2 linked regions of the Xenopus tropicalis genome follow. The protein of the gene in region 2 interacts with the protein of the main gene of each other region in a pairwise test. Links are inferred from orthologs where the notes say so. Each region holds a gene or a part of one and is shown on either strand. Other genes may lie near its edges. The genes, in order: pkp4 and atpaf2.

Region 1 (15,779 bases), about 58 Mb from region 2:
CACCCCCTGTTGTAAAATATAAGGATATTAAAAGTCACCAAGTAGTTCCATGGCCATATAAAGACATGAGGCCGAAGGCAATCACTCGACTCTAGTTTACAGGATATTCATGTACTATGTAAGTACATTTTATGTATAATGTAATGTATGGCCTTTATTTAACATTTCTGAACAAGTTTACTTAATGCCCTAATGGTTGTTCATTCTCTTGTTTTTTGTTTGCCAGTGGGATGGAGTTGGTCCTATTCCTGGGCTTTCCCAGTCCCCAAAAGGGGTGGAAATGCTGTGGCACCCATCGGTAGTCAAGCCATATCTGACACTCCTAGCGGAAAGCTCTAACCCTGCAACGCTGGAGGGTTCTGCTGGGTCTTTGCAGAATCTGTCTGCTGGGAATTGGAAGGTAATAGCAAGACTGGATTATAGAGGGGAGGGTTACAGATAGCATATTTCCCCCTATGTTTCATGCACAGAACGTTCTGCAGCCATATTGCTAGCCTTGTGCAAAAGCACAACCCCTGTAACCACTATAGTATATCTGCTGGTAATGCAGTCTATAAAATTCCAGAAAATAGTAACGGATCCCATACTGCTGTACTGAACACTGTAGGTATTATGGGACATTACCCTTTTCTCTTTGATGCATATTGCGCAAGTGATGTTGACCCTAGCTGTAAATTGATGGCTGAATATGTGGGAAAATGCAGATCCCTGCTGCCCGTGCAGAACGGCATAGCCTGCGGTGACAGTAACTAATTGCTATATTTTCTCTTTAGTTTGCAGCATACATCAGAGCTGCGGTACGGAAGGAGAAGGGACTTCCTATTCTGGTCGAGCTGCTGAGAATGGATAATGATAGGGTCGTTTCCTCAGTCGCTACAGCATTAAGAAATATGGCATTAGATGTCCGCAACAAAGAGCTTATTGGTATGTGCACCATACTGCAGATTTTTGTACTAATGTCTCTGGCTCTCTGCAGCATGACAGGCAGATTGCCCACTGACCGTAGGTATTGGTTGCCTCTTGTCAAACCTGTCTTTGAGGGTTTCCAGCAGGGTTGAGATTCATCCATGACATGACACATATAGTAAGGGTTGAGGGTCATGGGCCCCGCATATAGTAAGGGTTGAGGGTCATGGGCCCCGCATATAGTAAGGGTTGAGGGTCACGGGCCCCGCATATAGTAAGGGTTGAGGGTCATGGGCCCCGCATATAGTAAGGGTTGAGGGTCATGGGCCCCGCATACAGTAAGGCTTGAGGTTCAAGGGCCCCGCATATAGTAAGGGTTGAGGGTCATGGGCCCCGCATATAGGAAGGGTTGAAGGTCATGGGCCCCGCATATAGGAAGGGTTGAAGGTCATGGGCCCCGCATATAGTAAGGGTTGAGGTTCAAGGGCCCCGCATATAGTAAGGGTTGAGGTTCAAGGGCCCCGCATATAGTAAGGGTTGAGGTTCAAGGGCCCCGCATATAGTAAGGGTTGAGGGTCATGGGCCCCGCATATAGTAAGGGTTGAGGGTCACGGGCCCCGCATATAGTAAGGGTTGAGGGTCACGGGCCCCGCATATAGTAAAGGTTGAGGGTCACGGGCCCCGCATATAGTAAGGGTTGAGGGTCACGGGCCCCGCATATAGTAAGGGTTGAGGGTCACGGGCCCAGCATATAGTAAGGGTTGAGGGTCACGGGCCCAGCATATAGTAAGGGTTGAGGGTCACGGGCCCAGCATATAGTAAGGGTTGAGGGTCACGGGCCCAGCATATAGTAAGGGTTGAGGGTCACGGGCCCCGCATACAGTAAGGGTTGAGGGTCACGGGCCCCGCATACAGTAAGGGTTGAGGGTCATGGGCCTTGCATACAGTAAGGGTTGAGGGTCATGGGCCTTGCATACAGTAAGGGTTGAGGATCATGGGCCCCGCATACAGTAAGGGTTGAGGGTCATGGGCCCCACATACAGTAAGGGTTGAGGGTCATGGGCCCCACATACAGTAAGGGTTGAGGGTCATGGGCCCACATACAGTAAGGGTTGAGGGTCATGGGCCCCACATACAGTAAGGGTTGAGGGTCATGGGCCCCACATACAGTAAGGGTTGAGGGTCATGGGCCCCACATACAGTAAGGGTTGAGGGTCATGGGCCCCACATACAGTAAGGGTTGAGGGTCATGGGCCCCACATACAGTAAGGGTTGAGGGTCATGGGCCCCACATACAGTAAGGGTTGAGGGTCATGGGCCCCACATACAGTAAGGGTTGAGGGTCATGGGCCCCACATACAGTAAGGGTTGAGGGTCATGGGCCCCACATATAGTAGTGGAAGAGCAGCTGAAAGTTGTAGATCAGCAACAGCCAAAAAGCCATGGGCTGGCAGGTTTACTAGTATAATTAAATAAGAAAATGATGTGGGGCTGCCATTTCTGTGTATTTTACCTGGACATAATATTGGGAGTCAGGGTCAGATTTGCCTACCAGAGGATCTCCTGGTCAGCCTAGCCCCTGCTGGTCCTCTGCCTAGGGCAATTACCATCAACCTGTTTTGGGTACCATTTGGCCCTGTCTATATCCAGTTGCTGTTAGTGGGACTGCAGTGTCAGGTTCCCTAGCGGGTCCTAGGAGACCCAGTTCAACACTGTCAGGAAAGTGTGTAGAGATTTTGGCATCATTTTCTCAGTCTGCAGAGAATTTTCAGCCAGTAAAGGCTAACTTCTGATTGGTCCATCTTTTAAGGCAAAAAATCAAATGGAACTAATTCCATATTAACTTCAGCTGTTTCTTAGCGTTGTAGTTTTCATTTATGGCAAATAGCTTCTTTCCCCCCTTCCCAGGTAAATACGCGATGCGTGACTTAGTAAACAGACTTCCCGGAGGTAACGGGCCGTGCGTTTTATCTGACGACACAGTGGCTGCAATCTGTTGTGCATTGCACGAGGTTACAAGCAAGAACATGGAGAATGCGAAAGCGCTGGCCGACACCGGAGGGATTGAGAAGCTGGTGAATATCACAAAAGGAAAGGGAGACAGGCAAGTACTCCTTCACCCATATTATTCAGGTTTAGGGATTGCGACTAATGAGTCTTCATCTAGACTAGAGCAAGGGATATTCTCCTAGAGTCCTGTGATAAGTCTCCCCCCACAGCCTGCCTAACCCAGCGCCATTAATTAGCCGTATCTGGAGTTCCTTCGCTTGCGTGACATTCAGCACAAATGAGCAGGGCCTCTGAGCTCCTCGTGGAGAAGCATAAAGAGCATGGATTATGTCATTGGCTCTTACGGCCATCCGTTCATTAATTCATGGGCTGCCTTCATTAGAAAACCTCTGGCCATTTGCTTTCACAGCAGGACCAAGGAGACAAAGAATTGCCATGTTCTTTATGAAAATTGGATTACGCTCATGAGCAGATTTTATCCAAACGCAATTCCAGTGCTTCTCTCTCTCTGTCGTTGCACTGGCACCACATCCTATTCCTATGTAATTATCAGGGGAGTTCTGCACAAACTTGCTGATTAGTTGCACTGGGGGAGGCAGGGTTGGCCGGCCAAAAGGGGAAAATACAGTTCAGGGGAATTATACTTGACATTGTAGATGACAAAACAGTACCCCTAGGGGCTGAGCTGAAACATTACAGTGCTTACAGATACAGACACCTGATTATTATTAAGCTAATTAATATAACATTGTATATTACATGAGCTTTATAATTTCACCAAAAAAATACTTCCTAATGCTTTTACATTCCCAATCAGATCCCCTATGTTCCCCTATGAGGGGGCGGTCAGGTTGGCACTAGTTTAGAAACTTCATGTAACATTTACTTAAAATATAAGATCCATCTGCAAAAAACAATCAACATGACCTATTATATAAACTGTATACACTAAGGGGTTTATTATGCAGAAGAGCAGATGTGAGGATCTCGGTGCTACAGGTTTATGGAGCTATACATTCATTTCATGTGTTGCCATTTTCCCTCCTTCCTTGTGCTGGGGCTCATCTCAAACAAGAGTTTTATCCTTCCAGCTGTTCTATTGAAATGCATTGGTCATAATTAACAGTGTTTTTGATTTTCCTTAGATCTTCGTTGAAAGTGGTCAAAGCTGCTGCCCAAGTCCTAAACACATTATGGCAATATCGAGACCTCCGTAGCATTTATAAGAAGGTAAAACTGTTAGAATGGGCCTGGGATCTTCTTTTATCTCATTGTGCTGTATTGTTTGTATTGATAGCTAAGGAATAGGCCAATGGGACTACATGGGCAGTTGATTTGCAATGGGGCCAAAATAGCAAATATAACAGAGAAGGGAATCCTGCAGGCTTTGCCTCACAATTGCAATGCTGAAAGATATAGTTCAGCATCATGTGAAGAAGTTTCACAATTGACACCCTAATTCAGATGGTTATTGAAGCATTCCATTACGGTTATTGTGTAGCCACCTTAATATAGGGGCATATGTATTCTCAGGGGTATTTTTAGTATCCCACTTGATCTGCCACTCCTATTGTCTTCAGCCAACTGCTGGTTGGATGTATAAGGGTGAAGACACACAGAGCTACTTAGAAGCAGCTATTTGTCACAGCTACTAAACACCAGAAAATACCTTGCCATAGACAATACAGAGAATTGCCTCTGCTTAAACACACAGAGAGACAGTTATCAGTAAATGATCAGCACTGTCTATTTTAGTAGCCGCGACAAGTATAGCTGCTACTAGTAGCTCCATGTGTCTTCACCCTAACACATGCTGTTTCCCATCACTCGAGGTTGGTGAGTACGGAGAGTATCCAGCCATTACAGAACTTGGAGAGTTGGAGAGAAAAAGATGGCTGCAGCAGTTAAAGGCACTGTGCACAGATGTTCACGGTGATATACTATATATAGTTTTCCTTTCTTTTCTAGGACGGCTGGAATCAGTCTCATTTTATCACTCCAGTATCAACACTAGAGCGTGAGCGCTTCAAGTCTCACCCGTCCTTATCTACCACCAATCAGCAGATGTCTCCCATGATCCAGTCAGGTCAGTGTTGCTCTCAGCAGGGCCGGGTATATGGGGACAAGCCAAAAAGGGCCAATCTGTCACAGAAGATAGTACAGTTCTTGTTATTTATGTTGGAATCTCGCAGGATTATCTGATTCTGGCTCCGTCAGCATCTGCTTTTTGCCATGAAAGTGCTTGGCAGGGAGTTTGAAAGCAAACAGAAGAAGCCATGTTTAGATATGTAGTTCTACACAATTCACTCCCATCTATGGGGTTTCCTTTTCTCTTCCTTATTCCTAAACTTTTTCATATTTTGCTATTTGTATTTTTCTCAGCTGAATATGCAGAAATGTACTCAGCATGAAAAATATATACAACGGTCTATTGCTGTAAAGGTTCCTTTTGTAGCAAGGGGAGGATGAAGCCCCAGGCTGTGCCAGTAAGCAGTGCTACTGAGTAAGCTGGCAGTCTCCCAGAATGAGAAGGTGACTCTCCCAGTAGCATCCAAAATAAAATCTATATGAAACACTCGGGTACAAGCAATTCCTATGCGGGGAGTATATGTATAGGGGGTATTAAATGGCTACAATTTTATTGGTATTACTTTTAAGTACTTATCTTGCTAGTCAGACCTATTCATATTCCAGTTTCTCATTCAAAGCGCTGCCTGGTTGCTAGGGTAATTTGGACCCTTGCAACCATATAAAACAAAATAATTCAACGACGACAAATAAAAACTGAATTGTTTCAGAATAGCACTTTCTACAACATACAAAAAGTTAATTCATTAAGGTAAAGAGCTCCTTTAAAGTGATACTGACACTAAAAAACTACTCTTTAAAATATTAATGTGCATTAAAAGTTCCCTATAGGTCATATTGATCATTTTCCGCTGATTGGGCTGTTTCTTTAAGTAATTTTTGCTTAAAAGAGCAACATGGGGGATCCGATAGGGAATGTAAAAGCATTGGGCAAATATTTTTAAGGCTAAATTATAAATTGCCTGCAAAGACAGTGTTATGATCGATGTAAAAAAGGTTTGATTTCAGATGTCAGTATCTGGTTTTAATAGTCATTGCAGGCAGATTGCCAGGGAAAGCCTAACAATCTCAGAGGGGCAACACAACTTTGGAAACCAAAGTCACCATTTAGATCAAGGTTTGGGACTATACCTACGATCATCAAGAACCCAAAGTCCAAATTATTCTAAAGGGGGAACATTTAATTTAAAGCTTAATAGTTATTATAAGTGATGAGGGGGAAGGACGTGCCTAGTGTTAAACCCAAATAGGAAGCTACAAAGTCTGAATGCTAATGCCTTTATGTACTGCAGGTGTTGCTATAAATAATTTGTTTATTCTCAGTTACTGATTCCTCTATAATAACTTTCATCTCTTCCATTGTGACACAGTGGGCAGCACCTCCTCTTCACCAGCACTGTTAGGAATACGGGAACCTCACTCTGGTTATGAGAGAACACAACCCTCTATGCAATACTATAACAGCCAGGGAGACCCCATCTCTCAGAAGGAAATGTTCACTGGTACGTGCAAATGTCTCTCTCACAGCAGCCATGATGCGCAATACCTTAAATATACACACGTCCCATGCATGTACACACGTCCCATGCATGTACACACGTCCCATGCATGTACACACGTCCCATGCATGTACACACGTCCCATACATGTACACACGTCCCATACATGTACACACGTCCCATACATGTACACACGTCCCATACATGTACACACGTCCCATACATGTACAGTAAAGGGAAGTAGATCTAGTTTGTCTCTGCTCCACTGCAGAACCTACATCCCAGACCTCTCAACCTGAACAGGATCCGTGTCCCACGCAGTTAGTCGCGTCAGAGCTACACATGGACAAGTGCCTATACACCAATACAGCAGGCGCATCAGCTCATCGGGCACGCCCGATGGACCTACCCGACCAATATATGGCCTAAAATTGGCCAGATCTTGATTGGGCAGATTTGATTTTTCCATTCAATCAGGGACCCCGTTAGCTCATTGATGCAGTCCCCAGTCCGACAATCCATATACCCACCACTTTAATTTGATCATTTGGCCCAAGGGATGGAAAGCTAACATCCACCATTCAGATAAAGCCTAATCTTCCCTGTATGGACAGCTAGAATCCTAGGGCTGGAAGAATGTAGATTGAAATACATTCTACTAAATAACAAGAAAAACTTCCAAAAAAGTAATAGAAATCATATTTGTAACTCCTTTATATTTGAAGTACTGCACATTGGGGAGAAAGTAATAAAGTTGGTGTGGAAAAATTATTCGCAATGTGAAAACGTATGCCTGTATGCAACTAAATATGTGTGAATGGGGAAACTGTTTAGCGACCACTTCCAACAGTGGAAGAAAGTTTGCGAATTTTAGTGTTAGTGCGCAGTGTATGTAATAAAACTTCTTAATGGAAAAGTTACCTTTCCTCCAACAGATTCCGCCACCTTCAAGCATGCCTTAAAAAGTTTGCAATGCACATTCTGACTTTTATTACATTCCCCCGATTGTCTTCAGATACAAACATTTGTTTGAATAAGATTGTCCCTACGCAGCATTGCGTCGCTGCGTGTGTAAGTTTAAGCGCGGGGGGCTTTTCTGGTTTGGCTGATATTAACCTGGACAGTCCTCTGACAGTAATAGCAGCGCCCTCTACTGGTGGTAAATAGGAAAACATTACTATTAAATGCAGTAACTCTCAGCAGTGATTCTATGCTTTATCACTCAGCAGTAAACCCAACACTAAATACTTGATTTCAAGGGCGGCATCAGTATAATTTCCTTTTTACATGGGAGGAAACCCACAGAGAGACTTATAACCCTTTGTACTTGGGAGTTATGGGAGTGATTACATTGTTTCTTTGTTCAGAAAAAAGTAAATCACCCACAGACTAAAACTGTTATTTTCATAGGGTCCAGCAAAGCATCTCCAATCTACATCAGCTCCTATTCCTCACCAGCACGAGAGCAAAACAGGCGGCAGCAGGTGAGTTATTAGTATTGGCCCAACCAGAAGTCGTCTTATTAGGGCCCCAAACATTCTGGCAGTTGAGCTGCTTCAGAAACACAAAGTGACGGTCACATCAGTCAGGAACCCACTGAGCCCACCATCAGCGGTTGCCAAGAGACAACAAAGTTTAAAAAAAAAAAAAAATCCTCATATCAATACATACATACACTTTGCTATTGTAACTTTGCATCATTTCTTGAGAGTTTAAGATTTTTTTTTTTTTTTTATAAAATATTGTTCCCTTTGTTTAAGCCCAGCTTAGGAATATTTATATATAATAGTATTAGCTCTTACAATTAATAAGTGGGGGGTTTGTGACATCAAGGATTGAGCAAAAGGGAGTCTGGGCACCATGTCCAGGCACAGTTATGCACTGCAGCCAATTAGATGTTTGCTTTCATTGTTATAGCTGCCCTATAGCAGTAGAAGCTAACTGCTGATTGGTTGCTGTGGGATACAGTAGAAACTGGGCTCATTACTACACATCCCAACTGTATAATGATATTTGGGAATGCCATAGCACAGATATAGCTATGTGAGAAGGATAATGTGTTCAGCATGAGTCTAATAAAGTAACTGTTCCGTTTGTCATTAGCATCACCAGCTGTACTATAGTCTTGAAGACTCAAATAGGAAAAACTATGATGCATACCGATTGTATTTGCAGTCTCCACACAGCTACGAAGACCCGTATTTTGACGAGCGCGTCCACTACACGACGACTGCAGATCAGAATGCGCAATATGGACTCAAATCGACCACAAACTATGTAGACTTTTACTCCACTAGAAGACCTTCCTATAGATCAGAACCGTACCCGGGGTCGCCGGACTCGTGGGTGTAGGACCACTAAGGAGGCGTTTCCATGAACTCTATACTAATAATCATGCTTGATCTGATTTTTTGAATGGCCTTATTTGCTGTTTTGTTTTTTTATTATTATTTTTGTATTTTTTTTTTTTTTTTTTTTTTTTTTGGTGGTGGAAACTGAAAGTGAAATTCAGAGAAGGACGACGGAAGAGAATATATTTTCTTACAATTTCAGAGGGCTTATCATGAACAGGAGAATCAAACTGACGAGGGATATCTATTTTTTTGCTGTCTAGATTGTAGCTCTTAATACTCCTAGCTCTGTAGTTTGGTGATGGTGCAAGCTATGTGATAAAAGGTCTGCGGCGGAGAGACGTGATTGGCGGGGGGAAGAGGTGTAGGTCAATCTTTTAGATTTTTTTTTTTATTATTATTATAAATGTGAATAAAAGTCTCGCTGAGAAGTTTGTACAGACGGAGATGGTTGAAACGAATGCTTTCTTTCCTTCCTTGCTCAGTGTCCGGATTGTATGCTATTCTGTCTTGTAAATGAAACTCCCCCCTATGTAAATACAGTATTGCCATAACGGTTGGAAGTGCCATCATTTGTATTGCTGTGTCATTTTGAATCATTGGAAAAGCAGAAATATGAGATATTATAATGCTAAATAAGGAATAACATTTTTAAATAGCGTCATTTCAAAACGGGGACGGCGGATTCCCGGCGCTGCAGATGAACGAGCTGTGGTTCCTGCCACATTCAGTGCCGGGAGTTTGCCATCTCCGCTATAACTTAATCTACACTTTTTTTCCATTCCCTGCCTCTTTCATACGTCTCACTGCCATTTTCTATGCACACAAAACGACAAAAATAAATGTGGAACATCCACAGAAAGTCGGTTATTGTCTACGTTTGTCTGCGTTCACTTTATTGTAGAACTGTGATTGCTGGGTACCAGTTGGGCAAATGGTACATTCCATAATAAGCACCTAACCTGCAGTTTAAGCGTTCTAATAGCATGGCACAAAAATGTATTACACTTCATGTAAATTGATATATGCTTCTCTAAAGCTGGCCATACACGCACCAATGATATTGTACAAAACCTAATTTCATACAATATTCGGTGCATGTATGGTGGCTCAACGAGGTGACCAATATCGCAGAAGGCTGCAGATATCGGTCGACTTGTCAATCGGCCAGGTTAAAAGATTTTGATTGGGTGCCATTGAAGGAGCCCAAGCAAAATCTACGTTCAGTGCTGAATCGGCAGAAGGAGGCAGAATTTCTATTGTTTCTACCTCCATATCTGACAATTCAGCCCTGAACGTCAGTGGAGGGTGGGAACGACCTTTCGTCTGACCAATGGTCATTGCTACGTGTATGGCCACCCTTAGTCTTCTGTCCTGTGGTTAGTGCTTTGCAGTATATATTGTGCCTTGGGTAATAGCAGTGGAAAAGGTATGCTGTGGGTATTATCAGTGGCCTGTGGAAGGGTAACTATAAGAGGTTATGGCCAGTCATGCTAATAGACCGGTGTCCAGTTGGGGAAATGATGCAGCACTATAAGGTACGGATTAATACAATGAATAGGCAGAATGGGCTCTAAGGGTATTTTCTCCTGGGGTGCCACTATAGGTGCACTAAGTATGCTGGAACACCAGGAGATTGATCAGGATCTCTAGCATAAGCTTACCATCCATCCTTGGCCCACAGGAACAGGCCTTGTGTCAGGGCTTCGGTCCCCTAAGAGAATTGTCACGTGAAGCGTCCACATCTGGCAGTATAATACATGGAATTGCCTCTGTGTCATCCTGCTATGAGTTCTGGGGGTATTATACATGGAATTGCCTCTGTGTCACCCTGCTATGAGTTCTGGGGGTATTATACACGGAATTGCCTCTGTGTCATCCTGCTATGAGTTCTGGGGGTATTATACACGGAATTGCCTCTGTGTCATCCTGCTATGAGTTCTGGGGGTATTATACATGGAATTGCCTCTGTGTCATCCTGCTATGAGTTCTGGGGGTATTATACATGGAATTGCCTCTGTGTCATTCTGCAATGAGTTCTAGGGGTTTTATACATGGAATTGCCACTGCAGTCATTTAAATATTTATATATTTTCTGAGGGTGTTTCTCTAAAATGGGGAGTGGTTTACTGGGGCATGTCTCCCACAGTGGGCGTGGTCTGCATGGCACCACTTTCGCCTTTTTCCCAGATTTCACTCACATCAAAGGCTTAACCTCTAGGCCAACTCCTCCTCCAAAAGTACATGGACACCTGACTGCCAAACTTTTTGGTCCAAAACCAATGGTACTAATATGAAGTTGGCCATTTGCTTTTCTAGGAAGGCTTTCTGTTTGATATTGAAATGTAGTGGGATTTGCTTTCATTCACAGGTAAGAGTTGGGGCACGTCTGATGTTGGGCTTGAGGCCTGGATCTTTTTGGTCTTCTATCTAGTTCATCCCATAGGCATTCAGTTAGGTTATATATATATATACACGCTGGGGCTCAGCAGTTTAGGGCAGGCATTCTCATCAGTATATGTAAAACCAATGTACACTGTATGGATAGTTACACATCGAAATACATTCTATTTATGTGCTAGAATGGCCGCTGCTATGTGATGACCATGAAAATTTTGCAGCAGCAACAACTCTGTCAGTAACCACAAGATGGCGTAGTGCTGAGTTTCATGAAAATTAACTGCATGGTGCGCTCTTACAAGCCACAGCCTTTTTACCATTTTATGGGGGTCTCTTTGTAATACAATTTATTTCTACAGAAGTGCAAAAAATCTAAATAATATCTTAATATGATATAGAGGAATGGCAGTTTCTATATATTGTCCCATTCTATCAAAACTGAAAATTCCGCAAAGCAGCAGCCCTATGTTGTACCACTAGATGGGGCAATTGATATATTTGGGGAACAGTGATTTAATATCCACAGGGGTGAGCTACAGGGAAAAGCCACACAGTACCGCAGGGGCGAGCTACAGGGAAAAGCCACACAGTACCGCAGGGGCGAGCTACAGGGAAAAGCCACACAGTACCGCAGGGGCGAGCTACAGGGAAAAGCCACACAGTACCGCAGGGGCGAGCTACAGGGAAAAGCCACACAGTACCGCAGGGGCGAGCTACAGGGAAAAGCCACACAGTACCACAGGGGAGAGCTACAGGGAAAAGCCACACAGTACCGCAGGGGCGAGCTACAGGTAAAAGCCACACAGTACCGCAGGGGCGAGCTACAGGGAAAAGCCACACAGTACCACAGGGGAGAGCTACAGGGAAAAGCCACACAGTACCTCAGGGGCGAGCTACAGGTAAAAGCCACACAGTACCGCAGGGGCGAGCTACAGGTAAAAGCCACACAGTACCGCAGGGGCGAGCTACAGGTAAAAGCCACACAGTACTGCAGGGGAGAGCTACAGGGAAAAGCCACACAGTACCACAGGGGCGAGCTACAGGGAAAAGCCACACAGTACCACAGGGGAGAGCTACAGGGAAAAGCCACACAGTACCACAGGGGCGAGCTACAGGGAAAAGCCACACAGTACCACAGGGGAGAGCTACAGGGAAAAGCCACACAGTACCTCAGGGGCGAGCTACAATTAAAAGCCACACAGTACCGCAGGGGCGAGCTACAGGGAAAAGCCACACAGTACCACAGGGGAGAGCTACAGGGAAAAGCCACACAGTACCTCAGGGGCGAGCTACAGGTAAAAGCCACACAGTACATGCTGTTATACAGGGAGCGTATAACAGCAGGGAGTAACAAAGAAATTCAGGATCCTTATTATTAACATGATTAAATCCAAACAATGTGCCAATAGCATCAATATATGCTCAAAATATGCATGTGTCCCCAGTTAAATATGGCCATTCTAATCAGACCACATATATATATATATATATATATATATATATATATATATAAAGAAACAGAGAGCCGCACACACAGGGACTTTGCAAAAAGACAAAGTATTTAATGAAAAAGATCCGATGTTTCGAGCACCAACTGTGCTCTTCCTCAGAGCAAAATCGACGTTGTGCTGTGTCAATTCCTTGATTATACATTGTTCTCCATACCTGGCACCCAGGCATTAATGGAGTTTTTTGGTGTGTGCCCTATTTTTCATGTTATATATATATAGAATTTGAGTGTCTGCACTCAAATGCAAAAATCATGCCGGGGTGTACAGTTACAACAAATATATAAAAACTTATATTAAACTGGCACACTCTATAAAAAATGTGACTTTTATTTTTACAATGTTGTTTCAACAAACTTTATATACAAACATACAAATCAATGCCCACTACACATCAATCCAAAATCATATGATTATCCAATCAGTGACTTCCAATGTGACTTTCAAAGGTGAATTCAAAATTTGAATTCAGTACTTCTTTTACCACTTTATAAGCATAAATATTATACCTTGTCTATTCAGCCTTCCTAAAACCTTTTTTACATCATATTTCAATAATCACAATACATACAATTATATCCATAGTGTAGTTGTAATTACTAATATAATCATAAATAGTACAAATAGTGCATTGAAATATATAAATGTGCAATTCCAATTTTATCCATTAGATGTACCTTAAAAGCTCATAATACACTGTCCTTTTAAAATCCACTGTTTAAAAATCCTGTAGAGAAAAGAAACCTTTTTGTAGTAACTAATAACAATATAATATATAAAATAACTAATATAACTAATAACTAATATTGTGACCAAATTGTATATATTTTGTTGATATATAGAGTTACAAAAAGGTTTCTTTTTCTCTACAGGAAGTATTCAAATTCACTTTGAAAGTCACTGATTGGATAATCACATGATTATGGATTGATGTGTAGTGTGCACTGAACATTTTATATATATATATATATATCAGATATACTTTAGCGATCAGAAGTCATTAGTAACCTTAAAGAGGCTAAGGGGCACATTTACTAATCCACGAATCCGAATGGGAAAATTTCGGATTGGAAACGAACATTTTGCGACTTTTTCGTATTTTTGCGATTTTTCCGTTGCCGTTACGACTTTTTTGTAAATTGTCGCGACTTTTTCGTAGCCGTTATGACTTGTGCGAATTGTCGTGACTTTTTCGTAGCTGTTACGATTTGCTCGTATATTGTCGTGACTTTTTCATATTGAGCGCTCGTAAATGGCGGCCAAAACTTTCAGACTTTGCATGATTTTGGAAGCCTCCCATAGGACTCAATGGCACTCTGCAGCTCCAACCCGGCCCAAGGAAAGTCTCCCATAGGGCTCAATGGCACTCTGCAGCTCCAACCTGGCCCAAGGAAAGTCTCCCATAGGGCTCAATGGCACTCTGCAGCTCCAACCCGGCCCAAGGAAAGTCTCCCATAGGGCTCAATGGCACTCTGCAGCTCCAACCCGGCCCAAGGAAAGTCTCCCATAGGGCTCCATGGCACTCTGCAGCTCCAACCTGGCCCAAGGAAAGTCTCCCATAGGACTCAATGGCACTCTGCAGCTCCAACCTGGCCCAAGGAAAGTCTCCCATAGGACTCAATGGCACTCTGCAGCTCCAACCCGGCCCAAGGAAAGTCTCCCATAGGGCTCAGTGGCACTCTGCAGCTCCAACCCGGCCCAAGGAAAGTCTCCCATAGGGCTCAATGGCACTCTGCAGCTCCAACCTGGCCCAAGGAAAGTCTCCCATAGGTCTCAATGGCACTCTGCAGCTCCAACCTGGCCCAAGGAAAGTCTCCCATAGGGCTCAATGGCACTCTGCAGCTCCAACCCGGCCCAAGGAAAGTCTCCCATAGGTCTCAATGGCACTCTGCAGCTCCAACCCGGCCCAAGGAAAGTCTCCCATAGGGCTCAATGGCACTCTGCAGCTCCAACCCGGCCCAAGGAAAGTCTCCCATAGGGCTCAATGGCACTCTGCAGCTCCAACCCGGCCCAAGGAAAGTCTCCCATAGGTCTCAATGGCACTCTGCAGCTCCAACCTGGCCCAAGGAAAGTCTCCCATAGGGCTCAATAGCACTCTGCAGCTCCAACCCGGCCCAAGGAAAGTCTCCCATAGGGCTCAGTGGCACTCTGCAGCTCCAACCTGGCCCAAGGAAAGTCTCCCATAGGGCTCAATGGCACTCTGCAGCTCCAACCCGGCCCAAGGAAAGTCTCCCATAGGGCTCAATGGCACTCTGCAGCTCCAACCCGGCCCAAGGAAAGTCTCCCATAGGGCTCAATGGCACTCTGCAGCTCCAACCCGGCCCAAGGAAAGTCTCCCATAGGGCTCAATGGCACTCTGCAGCTCCAACCCGGCCCAAGGAAAGTCTCCCATAGGGCTCAATGGCACTCTGCAGCTCCAACCCGGCCCAAGGAAAGTCTCCCATAGGGCTCAATGGCACTCTGCAGCTCCAACCCGGCCCAAGGAAAGTCTCCCATAGGGCTCAATGGCACTCTGCAGCTCCAACCCGGCCCAAGGAAAGTCTCCCATAGGGCTCAATGGCACTCTGCAGCTCCAACCCGGCCCAAGGAAAGTCTCCCATAGGGCTCAATGGCACTCTGCAGCTCCAACCCGGCCCAAGGAAAGTCTCCCATAGGGCTCAATGGCACTCTGCAGCTCCAACCCGGCCCAAGGAAAGTCTCCCATAGGGCTCAATGGCACTCTGCAGCTCCAACCCGGCCCAAGGAAAGTCTCCCATAGGGCTCAATGGCACTCTGCAGCTCTAACCCGGCCCAAGGAAAGTCTCCCATAGGGCTCAATGGCACTCTGCAGCTCTAACCCGGCCCAAGGAAAGTCTCCCATAGGGCTCAATGGCACCCTGCAGCTCCAACCCGGCCCAAGGAAAGTCTCCCATAGGGCTCAATGGCACTCTGCAGCTCCAACCCGGCCCAAGGAAAGCCTCCCATAGGGCTCAATGGCACTCTGCAGCTCCAACCCGGCCCAAGGAAAGTCTCCCATA
Region 2 (16,614 bases):
ACTTCAGTCCTGTGGCTCTGCAAATTAAAGGGGACCCCCACCTGAAAACTGCATTTGTATATTGAAAGAAAATGCAGTTCTGCTGCCAGCAGGGCAGAGAATGGAAACAGACAGAAACTGCTATCCATAGCAGTTATATTTACAAATAACTGTATATTTCCAGTGTATATTGCAAATATACTTGGAATTCTGAGGACCCTTTTAATATTGTTTAGCAGACCATTTATTACACAAAATACCCTATGTGCCATAGGACTTGAAGTGCCACATTTCCCATTCCACCATCTAATCCAGAAGGTCCCAAACTGTGTGTGTTCTCTGGCCCCTACTAAAGGGGAAACTGGAGGCCTGAATAGGAATCAGCATAAATCTGGGGTGATGCATATCTACTTTTAAAGGAGAAGGAAAGGCATTTTTTTGTTTATATGGCATTATAGGGCTCATGTACGATCACAAGGGCAGTTTCAGCCCCCATGCCCCCCCCCCCCAGTCAGTTGTAAGTTGCATCAAAATGCACTCTTTGTAATCCCTATAGTTGCGCTCAGTGCAGCTCAGTCCTTTCTGCGTTCCCTGCCCAATTGAGTTCTGCTGCGCCTATTGATGCAGACCAGGCGGTAGCTCCAGGATTCCCTCAGTGCCCTGCATCCATTGTTGCAGTTCACTTGTGCCAAAAGAATAGCTGTGCACATCAGTCACATGACGAACACCAGAAATGAAGCAGACAGACATTGAAAATATTTGCTGCAACTGTGCCCAGTTTGAGAATAAACACACACACACACACACTTGCATTCATTTTGGGGTGCAATTGCAGTAGGTGCAGTGTAATTGCGTCAAGAGCATTGCCCCTTTGTGACTGCAATAACGCTACAATTCTGGGAACAAAACATGGCAACTGCACTTTACTCACTGCACTTGTGGATGTTAGGGATGCAGCAAATCCACTGGTTTGGGAATTGGGGAAAAACCCGAATCCTTCGTGAAAGTTTCGGCCGAACACCAAACCGAATCCGAATCCTATTTTGTTACTCCAGAGTAGTAACACATAGCAACCGATTATTTTAAATCTTACTGCATTTAACCAACCAGAGCTAATTTCTTGGTTGCTTTTGGTTACAAAAGCTAAATGTGGACTAAAATGACACTTACGTTTAACTTCCCCCTCCCCAGCGATAGCTAGAATCTTATTATATATTATATATATATTATACATATGTATTATACTTGCACTGAATGGCTGACAAGCAGTTGTATTTCTTTTCTTGCTAAGGCTGCTTATGTGGAGAATCTGAATGGCCCCTTCCTGTTTGAGAGCATGTACGCAGATGATGCTGATGGCACAAAATTATCCGGCCTTCCTGGAGTAGCAGAGTTAATGGACTCATATCCTTTACTGAGAGCATAATCCACTGCTGCACAATCATTTGCTGCATTACAGTAGGATCCTTAATTTGTTGAAGAATTGCGGTATGTATTCAGCATCTATTTATAGGCCACACATAGCTGTTCTTTATATGATCACCGCCAAGATCAGCCTGACCTACTCCTAATGGGCCCTGGCCCAATTAAATGCCAGAGAAGAACAAAGTCCATCAGCAATGTCTTTTGTTTCTCTGTTACAAGCAGCTGAACTGCAGCTCTTTTAGACCTTGTCTAGTGTGAAGCTTGGCCCCTTTTGGTTTCTGAGCCCTTCTTCTCTCTCTGACTATGGAACCCTCAAAGAAGTGCCTACTGGGCATACTTACTTCCTCTGCTCCAATTAAAATTAATCAGACATGTACAGTAGGCACCTCTTTGACATCATGGTAGTCGGAGAGAGTAGGAGTGCTCAGAAAGCAAAAAGGGGGAAGCTTCACGTGGGTAAACCCACAGGTGTCAGGCCGGCCTGCACATAACTATCCACCATATAATAGACCTTGCCCATTTACTGTCATTTCCCAAATTACTACAAACAAACAGCCACTTTGCTGATGCCATGCAGTTCAGCTTATAGCCAATAGCAGTGGCCGGAATTAATCCTTAACCAGAATCTCACGTACAGGAGTAAGTGTATTGAAATCTGCCAAAATATATTTGAATACGGCATGAAACAACATGAGAAGCGAGAGGCCGAGGCGTTCGAGTTTAACGAGTGTATGCAGGAAGCCATACGGGAAAACCAGGAGCAAGGAGCCAAGAAAATCCAGGAACTCACTGAAAAGAACTCAGAAGTAAGGCTAAAAGGAACCGGAGTGAGCTGCCTCCTCCGATGCAAACATGTAGCCACACTGTACTGGATGTTTACGAATTCTTTTTATCAGTTTTTTATTATAGTTGTAACATAGTAATGGTTTATGAGTGAGCTTCCTCAACCGAACTTCTTTCCTTACTGAGCCATGAAGCATGTTTGTAGTGCAGTGTAGCAGGAAGTGCTGACTCATGTCGGAATCAGCCACTGAGAGCAGGGGAAATATGTCAGTGACTTACAGCATGACAGTGTTGGTTGTGTCCAGAAACATAGATAGGTTGAGGAACTCACCATTAAAAGACATGTAAACCCTACATTTACCTACAATTTATATAAGTTGGGCACATCACCCCCACCCAAACCCACCAACCTATTTTCCTAAAACAAATAGCAGCTTTCACCCAGTGGCCATTTTCACTCATCTTCAGTGACATTTACATCTGCAACCAGCACATATGTGTGCTGTAATGTTCATGCAATGAAGAATGCAGGCTTACACAGGCAGAACTTACTTTGTGCCCTGTAACGATTAAACTGAGCTCAGGAGAGGAGGTTAGGGGGAAAAAAAACATTTTTCTTTAGCAGAGTGCACAGCTAGAACAAAGTTTCTCCAGTTGCAAACAAACCCCCCATTGATATTCAGATATTCAGACCCATTTCTCTGCTTTCAGATATTAAATGAACTCTCACAGAGCAGCAATCAGGACTTCCTAGACCTTAAAATCTCACAGTATATTGATGACATCAACAAGCTGCTGGACTCACTGATGACCCTGGAACTGCAGCTGGTGGACCAGACAGAGGTACCGAATGACTCCCACTATCTTCCTCCTTGGCTTCCACTCTTGGTAATATGGGAATCGCTGTCACTGACCACCTTCTGTTCTCCCTCAGGAAATCATAAAGGAGTATGAAAGAAATGTGTCAGACATGGTTTCTGCATTCCTGGAAACTGTACAGGGCCTATATCCTTGGGGTTCAGCAGTTGAATACATGAGAGCAGGAAGCAAAAAAAGAAATAAACACCGCCCCTTTTTCAGAAATTAGTTCCTTCCTTATACAACTTTTAGAAAACAATGCATCAGTGACAGCTAAGGATGACACATATGCTACCCATGGTACACTAAGCTCCACCATGCGATTGGGGGGTGCTTCCCATATTTGGCCAGTTACAGCTCTACATTTCACTTTGTGCCTTAGTGCTTTATGCCTGTGCTGCAAGCGAGCCTCACTCCTCTTAGGCTGATGCCACACGTGGCGTTTTTACGCTGCGTATTTTCTAATTCTCTCGGCGGCTGAAAAACGCCTGATATCATCATCCATAGAAATAGCTTGAAAAGACGCGCAGCAAACCAAACAAAGCGGAAATACGCTAGAAAACGCCTAAGCACGGATTTTTCAAGCGTTGGCTGAAATACGCCAGTACTTGCAAAGCAAGCTATTCCTATGGATACGCAAAGGCAGCTGCCAGACCTAGCGGAAATACGCGGCGTTTTTTGCTATTTCGCACTATTAGCACCATGGCAACGGGATTTGCTTACGTCACCAGTTCTAGGCTGAAAAACGCCATGTGTGGCTTGTGCAGCGTTTTTAGGCTGAGAAAAAACGCCGCGTAAAAACGCCACGTGTGGCATCAGCCTTATGGTAGGGGTAAATACACATGTACCCCATCTACACTGTTCTGGGTGTGCCATTACTCTGTGCTTTAGGGCTGGTATACAAACATATCTGCTCCCATGGTAGGGCTGATCCAGGTAGGTGTACCCTGATTGGTTTAATGCTAGATGTAAAGTCATAGCTCTCTTCCCTCCTATATTAGGGCAAACCCAGCTACACAAACCCAGCAAGCCTGAGACTCAAAATAGGCCCTGGAATTTCAAGTACACAGAGGCCCAAACAGCCCCCCCCCAGCCCACTTAATAGTGACTGTCTATGGCATCTTACAGCAGCCCCTCTGGCATTTGCCAGAATCCACAGTCAGCTTCCCTATGTTATCACTGTGTGCTCAAAGGCAAAGTTACAACTTCCATTGTAATTCAAACCCAGGTACATATACCCCAGCTATTCTCTGCCAGTGCCTCTGGTGATGTGGTCAGTTTGTACAATTTAGGTGCAAACCCCACTCCTTTCTGTTAAGTGTTCCTTTCCCACAAAGCTCAGTTGGGGTGCCAGGTTCACAGACATAGCAGCTCCCCTCTGACTGGTTTGTTGTCCCATGAATCCTTAACCTCTATGTATACAATGGCTCAGGTCAGAGACCTGGAGAATCATCATCACGAGAAGCTCCTGGAGATTTCCATCAACTTACTAGAGAAAGTGCTAAAGGGAGAGATGGATGATGAGATCACAGATGACATCAGGATGGTAAGAGCAAAGTGTATAATTTTTGATCAATCTTGCTTTATGGGTTGGTCTGACTATACTCTTTACATTCCCATCAGATCTTTGTGGACAAAGACACAGTCATTAATGCGGTCAGTGCCTCCCATGATATCCACCTACTGAAAATCGATAACCGTGAGGATGAGCTGGTCACCAAAATGAACACCTGGGCTAACAACCTCATCCAAAAGGTGAGTCCGATTCCATTTAATACACACAATGTACATACGGTTTAGCTTTGTACCATAAACGCCAGTCTCTCCGGTTTCTGCTAGGTCCAAAAAGATGAAATACAAAGGAACCGCAATAGAATCTTAGAGATCACCACATACATCGACCACTTGCGGGATGAGCTGGACAACCTAGAGCTGCATGAACAGATGTGAGCCTTTCCTTCAGCCTTGGACCATATCAGTGACAGCCGGGGGGCTTTTTGCACTACCCTCCCCAAGCAATATACCCTAACCCAATAGCTGCTCTTTGACCTCGAGTTATTTCTAATAACATGAGTTGAGCAGAAACCACTTTTTTTTTTTTAATTATTTTTGTTATGTATTTGTGTCACCTCCCCAAAATGACCCAGGTTCCGATTTTAGATCGGGACATGGATCAACAGCAGCCTAAACTTGACAGTTAGTACATGGGATGCCATTCAGCCCACGTTGTGATGTTCTCATTGGTGCATTTGAAGGTTGCAAGTATAGATTAATTGCCCCACCCCTCAGTTCACGTGACCTTGACTTGCAAATCAAAGACTGAAATGCTTTGAAATACTCAGCCGTGAACCAATAAATAAAAGGAACACACATAAAATGACTGGAATCTTTATGCCTACCATAGAGGTAACACTGAGCTGCCATTAAGCATGGTGGAAAAAAACTGACATTCCAACATCTCTGGTGTTTAAAGTTCCAGCAACCAATAACAGCCAAAAGTTCTTTGGGAATAATGGGAGTTGTAGTTCATAAGGTAGATGTATGTTGGACATCTCTGACATACTAGTTTTATCCCGAGCTCGCACGTGATCCTCATCCAGACAAGACACCTGGTCCTACATCAGATTTCGGATTTCAATCAGCCAATCGCCTTGGTCATCGTGCTCTCATTGCGATCCCAGGAGGCGTCTGTCTCCCCCTCACTAGTCCAGATGTTTCAGGTGGGATACAATGGCTTCCCAGAACAGAAGAGCATCCAGTCCCCCTTGCTCAGTCTTGCAGGAGCTTGTGTTTTATGGTAGAGCTTTCAGAACACAGATGTACAAAGAGGGTCCCAGCGGCTGTGCGGGAACGCAACTCCTGCAGGTCATAATCATGCGCCCACTCCACGTTCCCCCATCGCTGGATCTGAACCAAACAGAACGGGATTAAAACAAGCAGAGGCATCTGTCCGGGGACTATGCAGAGAAGGGAACCTGAATCATTTACACCCGGCTGTGGATATGTGAATTAATCATCAATACACCGCCGTCTGATTGTCACCTCATGCCTAACGGGAACTGCCGGAGTGATTATTACATATGTGCATCATAAGCTTTATTTATTAGCCAGCATCTCATGAATATACAGCACAGAGCCCCACCTATGCGAGTAAGAACCTCGGAGTGATCGTGCCGTATCAGTGCAGTTACCTGGTACTCTTCTTCTAAACGGGACAGCAGAACCGCTTTCTCCACTGGCAGATGTCGGTCAATGAGTCCCATAGTCAGGACAAGGGACTTGAGTTGAGAAATGATGAATTCGATACCTGTATTGGATGGTGGTGGGTGGGGGGGAAGTAAGGAGAATCAGCTTAAAGGGGAACTTCACCCAAACACAATTTAAGCTTCTGAAAAGTAAACATCATTTCAAGCCACTTTGCAATATACAGTGGTGTGAAAAACTATTTGCCCCCTTCCTGATTTCTTATTCTTTTGCATGTTTGTCACACAAAATGTTTCTGATCATCAAACACATTTAACTATTAGTCAAAGATAACACAAGTAAACACAAAATGCAGTTTTTAAATGAGGGTTTTTATTATTTAGGGAGAAAAAAAATCCAAACCTGCATGGCCCTGTGTGAAAAAGTAATTGCCCCCTGAACCTAATAACTGGTTGGGCCACCCTTAGCAGCAATAACTGCAATCAAGCGTTTGCGATAACTTGCAACAAGTCTTTTACAGCGCTCTGGAGGAATTTTGGCCCACTCATCTTTGCAGAATTGTTGTAATTCAGCTTTATTTGAGGGTTTTCTAGCATGAACCGCCTTTTTAAGGTCATGCCACAACATCTCAATAGGATTCAGGTCAGGACTTTGACTAGGCCACTCCAAAGTCTTCATTTTGTTTTTCTTCAGCCATTCAGAGGTGGATTTGCTGGTGTGTTTTGGGTCATTGTCCTGCTGCAGCACCCAAGATCGCTTCAGCTTGAGTTGACGAACAGATGGCCGGACATTCTCCTTCAGGATTTTTTGGTAGACAGTAGAATTCATGGTTCCATCAATCACAGCAAGCCTTCCAGGTCCTGAAGCAGCAAAACAACCCCAGACCATCACACTACCACCACCATATTTTACTGTTGGTATGATGTTCTTTTTCTGAAATGCTGTGTTACTTTTACGCCAGATGTAACGGGACACCCACCTTCCAAAAAGTTCAACTTTTAAACTAGTTAAACTTTAAATACCACAAGGTATTTTCTCAAAAGTCTTGGCAATCATTGAGATGTTTTTTAGCAAAATTGAGACGAGCCATAATGTTCTTTTTGCTTAAAAGTGGTTTGCGCCTTGGAAATCTGCCATGCAGGCCGTTTTTGCCCAGTCTCTTTCTTATGGTGGAGTCGTGAACACTGACCTTAATTGAGGCAAGTGAGGCCTGCAGTTCTTTAGATGTTGTCCTGGGGTCTTTTGTGGCCTCTCGGATGAGTTGTCTCTGCGCTCTTGGGGTAATTTTGGTCGGCCGGCCACTCCTGGGAAGGTTCACCACTGTTCCATGTTTTTGCCATTTGTGGATAATGGCTCTCACTGTGGTTCGCTGGAGTCCCAAAGCTTTAGAAATGGCTTTATAACCTTTACCAGACTGATAGATCTCAATTACTTTTGTTCTCATTTGTTCCTGAATTTCTTTGGATCTTGGCATGATGTCTAGCTTTTGAGGTGCTTTTGGTCTACTTCTCTGTGTCAGGTAGCTCCTATTTAAGTGATTTCTTGATTGAAACAGGTGTGGCAGTAATCAGGCCTGGGGGTGACTACAGAAATTGATATTGAAATTGAAAATTGAAATTGATAAACCACAGTTAAGTTATTTTTTAACAAGGGGGGCAATCACTTTTTCACACAGGGCCATGTAGATTTGGAGTTTTTTTTCTCCCTTAATAACGTAAACCTTCATTTAAAAACTGCATTTTGTGTTCAATTATGTTATCTTTGACTAATAGTTAACGGTTTTTGATGAGCAGAAACATTTAAGTGTGACAAACATGCAAAAGAATAAGAAATCAGGAAGGGGGCAAATAGTTTTTCACACCACTGTACATCAATTAAAAAATATGCAGCCTTTTCATGATTTGTAATGTAATACATTTTGGAACGGTTGCCTAAGCCCCGCCCCCTGTTCCCCTGCTGATCTGGCTGGCTACTTTGAGATTCAAATAAAATGTAACAGTAGACGACTGTCCTCAGCCTGCAGCCTCCAAATCCCACAATTCCCTGCTCATGTGATGTCAATAAGGAAAGGAACATCACAGTGCAATGCATTGTGGGTTTTGCAGTTCCTGCATGCTGTCTGTAACCTGTGGAGATATTGTTACAATTTGTAACATCAATGTTTTAGTCCCTCCTCCCCTGCCAGGATTTCAAATGATGCAGAAAGAGAAGAGCTGCTTTGCAGCTGGATTTCAGCATATAAAAATGGTATTTATAGGCATATCCCCCCCGCCCCAAGCTAGTGTCTTATGCTTTATTTCTTCTTTAAAGAAGCCCAGAGCCTCCAGCACAGCAGAGAACCCCAATTACCACTTTGTCTGCTGTAGTATAAATACATTTGTCTTCATTTCCAAATCCAAAAGGAACAGCCCCAATCTGCCCCCCAGGGATGCACCTCCCATCACTAACTCACGGAGTCACGTGACACGGATATAGTTTATCTGCCATTACCTAATAATCCCCAGGAATTGTAGGATGCCAGATGACGGCTAAACACATCTTTGGTCTCTGTTGGTATGATGGGCCCCTGGATGCTTGTGGAGGATCCAATCACAACGTTGTATCTAAAGCCAAAGTACATTAAGAGAATAAAGAAGAAGAATATACACGTAGAGCTTTTCTTTATAGAAATGTGACACATTGCTCTGCCCAGTCTGCAGTCAGCTGACCTCTTTTCTGCCCATTCAATCACTGGGTCCCACTCGTTTCTCTGCAGCTCCACCAGCCCCGGAGGCTCTTCTACTCTGTAACTGCAATACAAAACCAAATATCTTATTGCCTAAATGGCATGTAATTATACAGGGAGACTTGTTTGTATCGCGGCTCCCTCTGCTGGTTCCATGGCTGCTCTCCTTCCGTTCAAAGGATGTGGAAATGGAAGGTGTATTTGCTGGCTCTTTGTTAAGTCACTACAGAAGAGCCCAGGGGATAAGGTAAGTAGCGGATATTGAATCTAATCCTAATGGAGGCTTATGGATCAAGTAACTGGATACATGGCACTCACCAGACTGTGTCAGTCTCCAAAAACTTCAGAGCTGCCGTAATAAGCTGCTCCTTGTTTCTTAGCGTGGGGTTATCCAAGGCCGTGTTGCACAGTGTGGTCTGCAGGGAGAAGGCAATACAGTTAGCGGATGAATACAAGCTGGCAGAGGTGGGGGTTTAAGGGCATCCTTACCAGGTGCATGGTGTAGAACTTGATCACATCTCGCTGGCAGTCCCACTCTGTAGCTACAGCTACGGCCAAAGCCTCACTCGGAGCGGTAAATATTTTCCCCTGTGGCGTCCTGAGCTTCCGTCGATCCAGGTTAATTTCAAACCCCCCTGGAGGGAAGAGACAGTAGCTGCATTTACAAGCTAAAGGTTATAGATTTCAACCTTCTATTTACAAAAAGAAAGGGGTCAGAATAGGCATCTTATATGCGGCCGGACCCAAGGGCAAAATGCCCTTCTATTTAGACACAGGGGTGGCCAAACTGCACTTATCTGTTCATTGGGCCCAATGGCTGGCTGCATGGGAAGCAGGAAGGAAAGTGCAGCCACCGGGTCACTGCTTCTGACCAATATTGCTTATACCAATGCTGGTGTATGGAGGCAGGTCTGGACTGGTACTAGTATTTCCAGTACACAGAGGCCCCCCATCAGCCCAATAAATAGTGACTGTCTATGGCAGTGTTTTTCAACCTTTTTTGGGCAAAGGCACACTTGTTTCATGAAAAAAATCACGAGGCACACCACCATTAGAAAATGTTAAAAAATTTAACTCTGTGCCCAGCAGCAGTGCCCCCCTAGTACATTGGTGCCCAGCAGCAGTGCCCCCCTAGTACATTGGTGCCCAGCAGCAGTGCCCCCCTAGTACATTGGTGCCCAGCAGCAGTGCCCCCCTAGTACATTGGTGCCAAGAGCAGTGCCCCCCTAGTACATTGGTGCCAAGAGCAGTGCCCCCCTAGTACATTGGTGCCCTGCCTACGGCACACCAGGCAACATCTCGCGGCACACTAGTGTGCCGCGGAACAGTGGTTGAAAAACGCTGGTCTATGGCATCTCACAGCAGCCCCTCTGGCATTTGCCGGAACCCACAGATTGCCAGTCCGGGCCTGTATGGTGGTTGCTATAGTGCTATGTTTTAGGTAACTTAAAAAACTGTGAAATAAACACCAGCCTGGGATAAGGTTTGCCGAATGTGTCGCCATCTGCGTCAGTTGTAGGAGGGTACAAGCACCCGCACAGGGTGCTTTAAAGATACAGATAAAGCCACACGCGCAGCTCTGGAAAGGACTGTGTGAAACCTACCTTCTCCATGGGAAATACTGACATTTTCATAGAACTTCTTTCTTTCTGCAACATAAAAAAAAAATAATTGAATCAATAAATAATAGAGTAAGACATTGGACTGATGCCTCAGTACCAAATGCAGAATTCTACTGGGTTCATACCCACACTATCCAAGCAGTAATACATTTCCCCTCAGGGCAACTGCACTGCTAAAGGGCAGAGAATGGGTGCGGATGTGGCAGCTGGCCAAGGGGGCAGTAACACGGAGGGGGCAGTAACACGGAGGGGGCAGTAACACGGAGGGGGCAGTAACACGGAGGGGGCAGTAACACGGAGGGGGCAGTAACACGGAGGGGGCAGTAACACGGAGGGGGCAGTAACACGGAGGGGGCAGTAACACGGAGGGGGCAGTAACACGGAGGGGGCAGTAAGAGAGAAGGCACAAAAGTCCAGCATAAGTGGGGGCTCTGGAGAAGGACATTTGGAAGGAGCTACACTGAATTGGGGGAATAGGTAACATTAGAGCTAAAGGAATGGTATAGACTGGAGAGGTGGAATTTAAAAAAATGGGGGGGGGGGGATTATTGTTAGCTTTAAAAATGCCCCCTTTCTTCAGCAGGATTTCTACCCCCCACCAAGACACTTTCCCATTCAATCAGTTCTCATCCTTGTGTCGCCATGTGTCTGATGGGCCCCCATAATGCCATGCCCTAATGGTCTCTGCCAAAAGCTCAGTAGGAGGCAGGCAGCCAATCACAGCTCTCCGTTTATACTAGATCTGCTACTGTTCCCTGTAGGGCTGGAAGTGGAACCCATGGGCGGGACTAGTAGGGTTTAAATGAGCAGAAAATGGAATATTTAGGGGTATATTTATCATGCTGTGTAAAAAGTGGAGTGAAACATTACCAGTGATGTTGCCCTGGGGAACCAATCAGCAATTACATTTCAACAGTTAGAAAACCAAAGCATCTGATTGGCTGCTATAAACAACATCACCGGTGATGTTTTACTCCACTTTTTACACAGCATGATATATATATATCCCTTAATGACATATTGCTTTTATATTTACAGGAGTATAATGCACTGGCAAATCCCCTTTTCTCCCTTTCCACTCCCTGGTGCCACTTACCGGTAGCAGCGGCTGCATAGAGACGCGTCTGAGCGCAAAGTGCCGCCGGGAATACACGCAGCCTCCGGGCAGTGATCGCTAGCAGACTGGGCAGCATGGTATAGTAAGGGAGGGGTCAGTGGTTCTGCTCAGGACTCTCTCCCATCAGCACCTGCCGAGGGGCAAAGGATTATCAGTAGATATTTATTAGCGACCACCCCTCTGCCGCTGTGAAATGGTCTCTCCCCAAGGCTTCCCACAAGGCTCAGCGCTCATTACACCCAGAGAGAACACGCTGCCAGTCCCAGCCCCTATGTACAGAAAGCCTGCTCACCCGGGCGCAGCCATCTTGGTGACCCTGACTTGTTCTTTGTCGTCACGTCCGGCAAGCAGCCAATCCGAGCCCTTCTTGGTCTCCATTGGTCAGTTTTAGCTAGACTACATTTCCCGGCGGCGCCGAGTCACCGCTTTAGCCAATTGGGGGCGGTGCTGCGCGGTGGGCGGCCTTTCGTTCAGCCAATCGGACTGCGCGGTGCTGGAGAGGCCCAGGTGCTCGGGCCGGGAGTGGAGAAGTGGCCGAGCCCTAGTGTGGAGCCGCCTCAGCGGGAGAGGGGCTCGGCCCTGGATATGCCGGTCCGTACCGAGGCCAACAGCGCGGCCTCCGGATACTCCTCTCTTATTCCTCCTCCTCCCATCAACACCCAGCAGCCCGGCGTGGCCACCACCCTCCTCTACAGCGGCTCCAAGTTCCGGGGCCACCAGAAGAGCAAAGGCAACTCGTACGATGTGGAAGTTGTGCTTCAGGTGAGGCCCGGCGGGGCCGACTGCAGCCTGGCTAGTGTGTGTGTGTGTGTGTGTGTGTGTGTGTGGGCACAGGGGGGGGATGTGCGGCAGGGAATCCTGGGTAGAGGGGCTGGGGGGGGGGGGGGGTTGTTTAACAAGAGGTTTATTGGGGGAGAGCAGGTGAAGGGGCAAGAGAGGAGCAGGGATAGGGTAGAATGATGGGAATAGAGGGGCAATGGGAGTGGGGTAGGAAGGGTTATGGGAGGGACCCCTAGCCAGGGAAGGGTGGCCGGAGCAGGACATGTAGGCACTGGGGCCCTGGCTTGGGAGGTAGGGGGGTGAGTTATGGCAGGGAGGGAGGGAGGGGGTAGGAGAGTCATAGGGTTCTGCTGTGAATCATGTTGGGACTGAGAGCAGAGAAGCCAGGGCTGCTGGGTAAGTGAGCGCCAACAATAGTCTCCCCCTTGTACAGTGAGCGCCAACAATAGTCTCCCCCTTGTACAGTGAGCGCCAACAATAGTCTCCCCCTTGTACAGTGAGCGCCAACAATAGTCTCCCCCTTGTACAGTGAGCGCCAACAATAGTCTCCCCCTTGTACAGTGAGCGCCAACAATAGTCTCCCCCTTGTACAGTGAGCGCCAACAATAGTCTCCCCCTTGTACAGTGAGCGCCAACAATAGTCTCCCCCTTGTACAGTGAGCGCCAACAATAGTCTCCCCCTTGTACAGTGAGCGCCAGCAATAGTCTCCCCCTTGTACAGTGAGCGCCAGTAATAGTCTCCCCCTTGTACAGTGAGCACAACAATAGTCTCCCCCTTGTACAGTGAGCGCCAACAATAGTCTCCCCCTTGTACAGTGAGCGCCAACAATAGTCTCCCCCTTGTACAGTGAGCGCCAGCAATAGTCTCCCCCTTGTACAGTGAGCGCCAGCAATAGTCTCCCCCTTGTACAGTGAGCGCCAACAATAGTCTCCCCCTTGTACAGTGAGCGCCAACAATAGTCTCCCCCTTGTACAGTGAGCACAATGGTGGAACCCTAACTGGAAAGGAATAGGGAGAGTATGGCAGAGTAGGTGGGGGAAGGAGAGTCATGGGAACCTGCCATGAAGGTATTACTTGGGGGGACAGGAGAGTAGTAGCACCCTTGTGGGTTACAGTAACAGGGGAGAGTATAGAGAGGGCAAGGAATCTCTTCTCTACATTTCCTGTGGAGGTAGATATGGGAGCCGCAGTTCTAGAGAGCGTGTGATTGGTGGATGGAGTTGGTTTGGGGGGGGGAAATGCTTCAGTAAATTTTACACTAAAGCTCGGTGTGAGAGAGTATTATATCTGCCTGCTGGTACAGAGTATTATATCTGCCTGCTGGTACAGAGTATTATATCTGCCTGCTGGTACAGAGTATTATATCTGCCTGCTGGTACAGAGTATTATATCTGCCTGCTGGTACAGAGTATTATATCTGCCTGCTGGTACTGAGTATTATATCTGCCTGCTGGTACTGAGTATTATATGTGCCTGCTGGTACTGAGTATTATATGTGCCTGCTGGTACTGAGTATTATATGTGCCTGCTGGTACTGAGTATTATATGTGCCTGCTGGTACAGAGTATTATATCTGCCTGCTGGTACTGAGTATTATATCTGCCTGCTGGTACTGAGTATTATATGTGCCTGCTGGTACTGAGTATTATATGTGCCTGCTGGTACAGAATGGTGGCATAGCCTGGGCACAGCCGCTACTCCTATACACTGCAGCCCACACAGGTTCCTGCACTCCCTGCTGCAAGTGAAGTTAGTGAGCGGGGAAGAGTCATGTGACATTTCTCTGGTCGGTTCTGAGCACAGAGACATCCCCAGAACTTTCCTCTGCCGGCTGCAGCCAGTGGGAAGAACAGAATGGGGCACTGTGTCATATTCATTATAACACAGTGTTAAAACTGCTAATATCTCGAAAACTAAATGTCTATAAGCTTTTATTTTCGACGGGTACAACTTACAGCCCTTACAACTCCCCCCCCCCCCCCCCCCCTCAGCTTAGGTTGTCCACTGTCATATGGCATATTCTCTGCTTTAATTCATTGCCTCCTATTAATCTAAGTGTTTGGCCCTTACTCAGAGTCGGGCACGGGGCCCCTTTCCTAGCGGCGCTCACCTCTGATTTGGCTATGGAAGTAGCCGGCCATAAATAGGCATATATAGTGTGAGCGGCACCCTGGGAGAGCTCCCTACTCCCTCCTGGATCGCTGCCCTCGGCCCAGCAAAAGAATTAAACAAGGAGGGATTTGCATCCACGCAGGGCATAATCGGGGAGAGAATACGGGTGCCAGGGGGGGGATTGTGCCGGGCTGGTACCACCTTTATCTGTCTCTCTCTTGCCCTTATTTGTGTCGCCGAGCCCTAACAGTCTGCCAGTGCTGTGACCTAACGTGACCTAATGTGCCGGCGCTCCTGCCTCTGCCCACGGGCAGCCTTTGCTTTCAGCTGAGCCAGGGTTTCTATTGCTCTCTCCCTGCACAGAGAATGGGCTCGGGCGGCTCAGCTGCACTCTGGGCTCCCTCCGGGCTCCCAGGGGCTACATACACCATTAATCTCACTGTTACTGAGGCTGCACGGTGCAAGTGTCCCCCACCTGCACACACATTGGCTGGAAATGGCCATGTGATTTACACACTGCATTTGTATATAAATATTGTCTCTCCCACAAGAAGTCATAAGGACCCCTGTGTCATACAGATGGGCATAAAGTCATCTGGGGCACTTGCTCATTATGCACATTAAATATAACCTATTGGTTTTCTGTGGTTTTGCCCAGGCACCCATGGCTCTATCTGTACCCCTGTTGGTTTCAGTGGCCCAGGCACCCATGGCTCTATCTGTACCCCTGCTGGTTTCAGTGGCCCAGGCACCCATGGCTCTATCTGTACCCCTGCTGGTTTCAGTGGTTTTGCCCAGGCACCCACGGCTCTATCTGTACCCCTGCTGGTTTCAGTGGTTTTGCCCAGGCACCCATGGCTCTATCTGTATCCCTGCTGGTTTCAGTGGTTTTGGCCAGGCACCCACGGCTCTATCTGTACCCCTGCTGGTTTCAGTGGTTTTGCCCAGGCACCCATGGCTCTACTTGTATCCCTGCTGGTTTCAGTAGTTTTGGCCAGGCACCCACGGCTCTATCTGTACCCCTGCTGGTTTCAGTGGTTTTGCCCAGGCACCCATGGCTCTGTCTGTACCCCTGCTGGTTTCAGTGGTTTTGCCCAGGCACCCATGGCTCTACTTGTATCCCTGCTGGTTTCAGTAGTTTTGCCCAGGCACCCACGGCTCTATCTGTACCCCTACTGGTTTCAGTGGTTTTCCCCAGGCACCCATGGCTCTACTTGTATCCCTGCTGGTTTCAGTGGTTTTGCCCAGGCACCCATGGCTCTATCTGTACCCCTGCTGGTTTCTGTGGTTTTGCCCAGGCATCCATGGCTCTATCTGTACCCCTGCTGGTTTCAGTGGTTTTGCCCAGGCATCCATGGCTCTATCTGTACCCCTGCTGGTTTCTGTGGTTTTGCTCAGGCACCCACGGCTCTATCTGTACCCCTGCTGGTTTCAGTGGCTCAGGCACCCACAGCTCTATCTGTACCCCTGCTGGTTTCAGTGGTTTTCCCCAGGCACCCATGGCTCTACTTGTATCCCTGCTGGTTTCAGTGGTTTTGCCCAGGCACCCATGGCTCTATCTGTACCCCTGCTGGTTTCAGTGGTTTTGCCCAGGCACCCATGGCTCGATCTGTACCCCTGCTGGTTTCAGTGGTTTTGCCCAGGCACCTATGGCTCTACTTGTATCCCTGCTGGTTTCAGTGGTTTTGCCCAGGCACCCACGGCTCTATCTGTATCCCTGCTGGTTTCAGTGGTTTTGCCCAGGCACCCACGGCTCTATCTGTACCCCTGCTGGTTTCAGTGGTTTTGCCCAGGCACCCATGGCTCTATCTGTACCCCTGCTGGTTTCAGTGGTTTTGCCCAGGCACCCACGGCTCTATCTGTACCCCTGCTGGTTTCAGTGGTTTTGCCCAGGCACCCATGGCTCTATCTGTACCCCTGCTGGTTTCAGTGGCCCAGGCACCCATGGCTCTATCTGTATCCCTGCTGGTTTCAGTGGCCCAGGCACCCATGGCTCGATCTGTACCCC

The links.
Region 1: the proteins of atpaf2 (region 2) and pkp4 interact in binary tests that used the Homo sapiens proteins (3 or more experiments, as listed by UniProt). The two-hybrid records come from large-scale screens. The link is inferred for Xenopus tropicalis from reciprocal best matches to the Homo sapiens genes ATPAF2 and PKP4.

What each region holds. Positions count from the first base shown.
Region 1 is NC_030685.2:73,499,959-73,515,737, reverse strand, and holds the end of pkp4 (plakophilin-4), read left to right. Parts: intron 1-226; coding exon 227-400; intron 401-773; coding exon 774-924; intron 925-2,814; coding exon 2,815-3,010; intron 3,011-4,061; coding exon 4,062-4,146; intron 4,147-4,884; coding exon 4,885-5,002; intron 5,003-6,374; coding exon 6,375-6,506; intron 6,507-7,913; coding exon 7,914-7,987; intron 7,988-8,606; coding exon of another isoform or gene 8,607-8,678; coding exon 8,679-8,855; 3' UTR 8,856-9,299; downstream 9,300-15,779. UniProt on the Homo sapiens protein: Plays a role as a regulator of Rho activity during cytokinesis. May play a role in junctional plaques.
Region 2 is NC_030685.2:15,289,921-15,306,534, reverse strand, and holds atpaf2 (ATP synthase mitochondrial F1 complex assembly factor 2 precursor), read right to left. Parts: upstream 11,974-16,614; 5' UTR 11,790-11,973; coding exon 11,693-11,789; intron 10,624-11,692; coding exon 10,579-10,623; intron 9,610-10,578; coding exon 9,464-9,609; intron 9,391-9,463; coding exon 9,293-9,390; intron 9,039-9,292; coding exon 8,958-9,038; intron 8,853-8,957; coding exon 8,740-8,852; intron 6,353-8,739; coding exon 6,237-6,352; intron 5,953-6,236; coding exon 5,815-5,952; 3' UTR 5,418-5,814; downstream 1-5,417. Other genes in the region: gid4 (glucose-induced degradation protein 4 homolog), read left to right, coding at 12,299-12,475. UniProt on the Homo sapiens protein: Plays a role in the assembly of the F1 component of the mitochondrial ATP synthase (ATPase).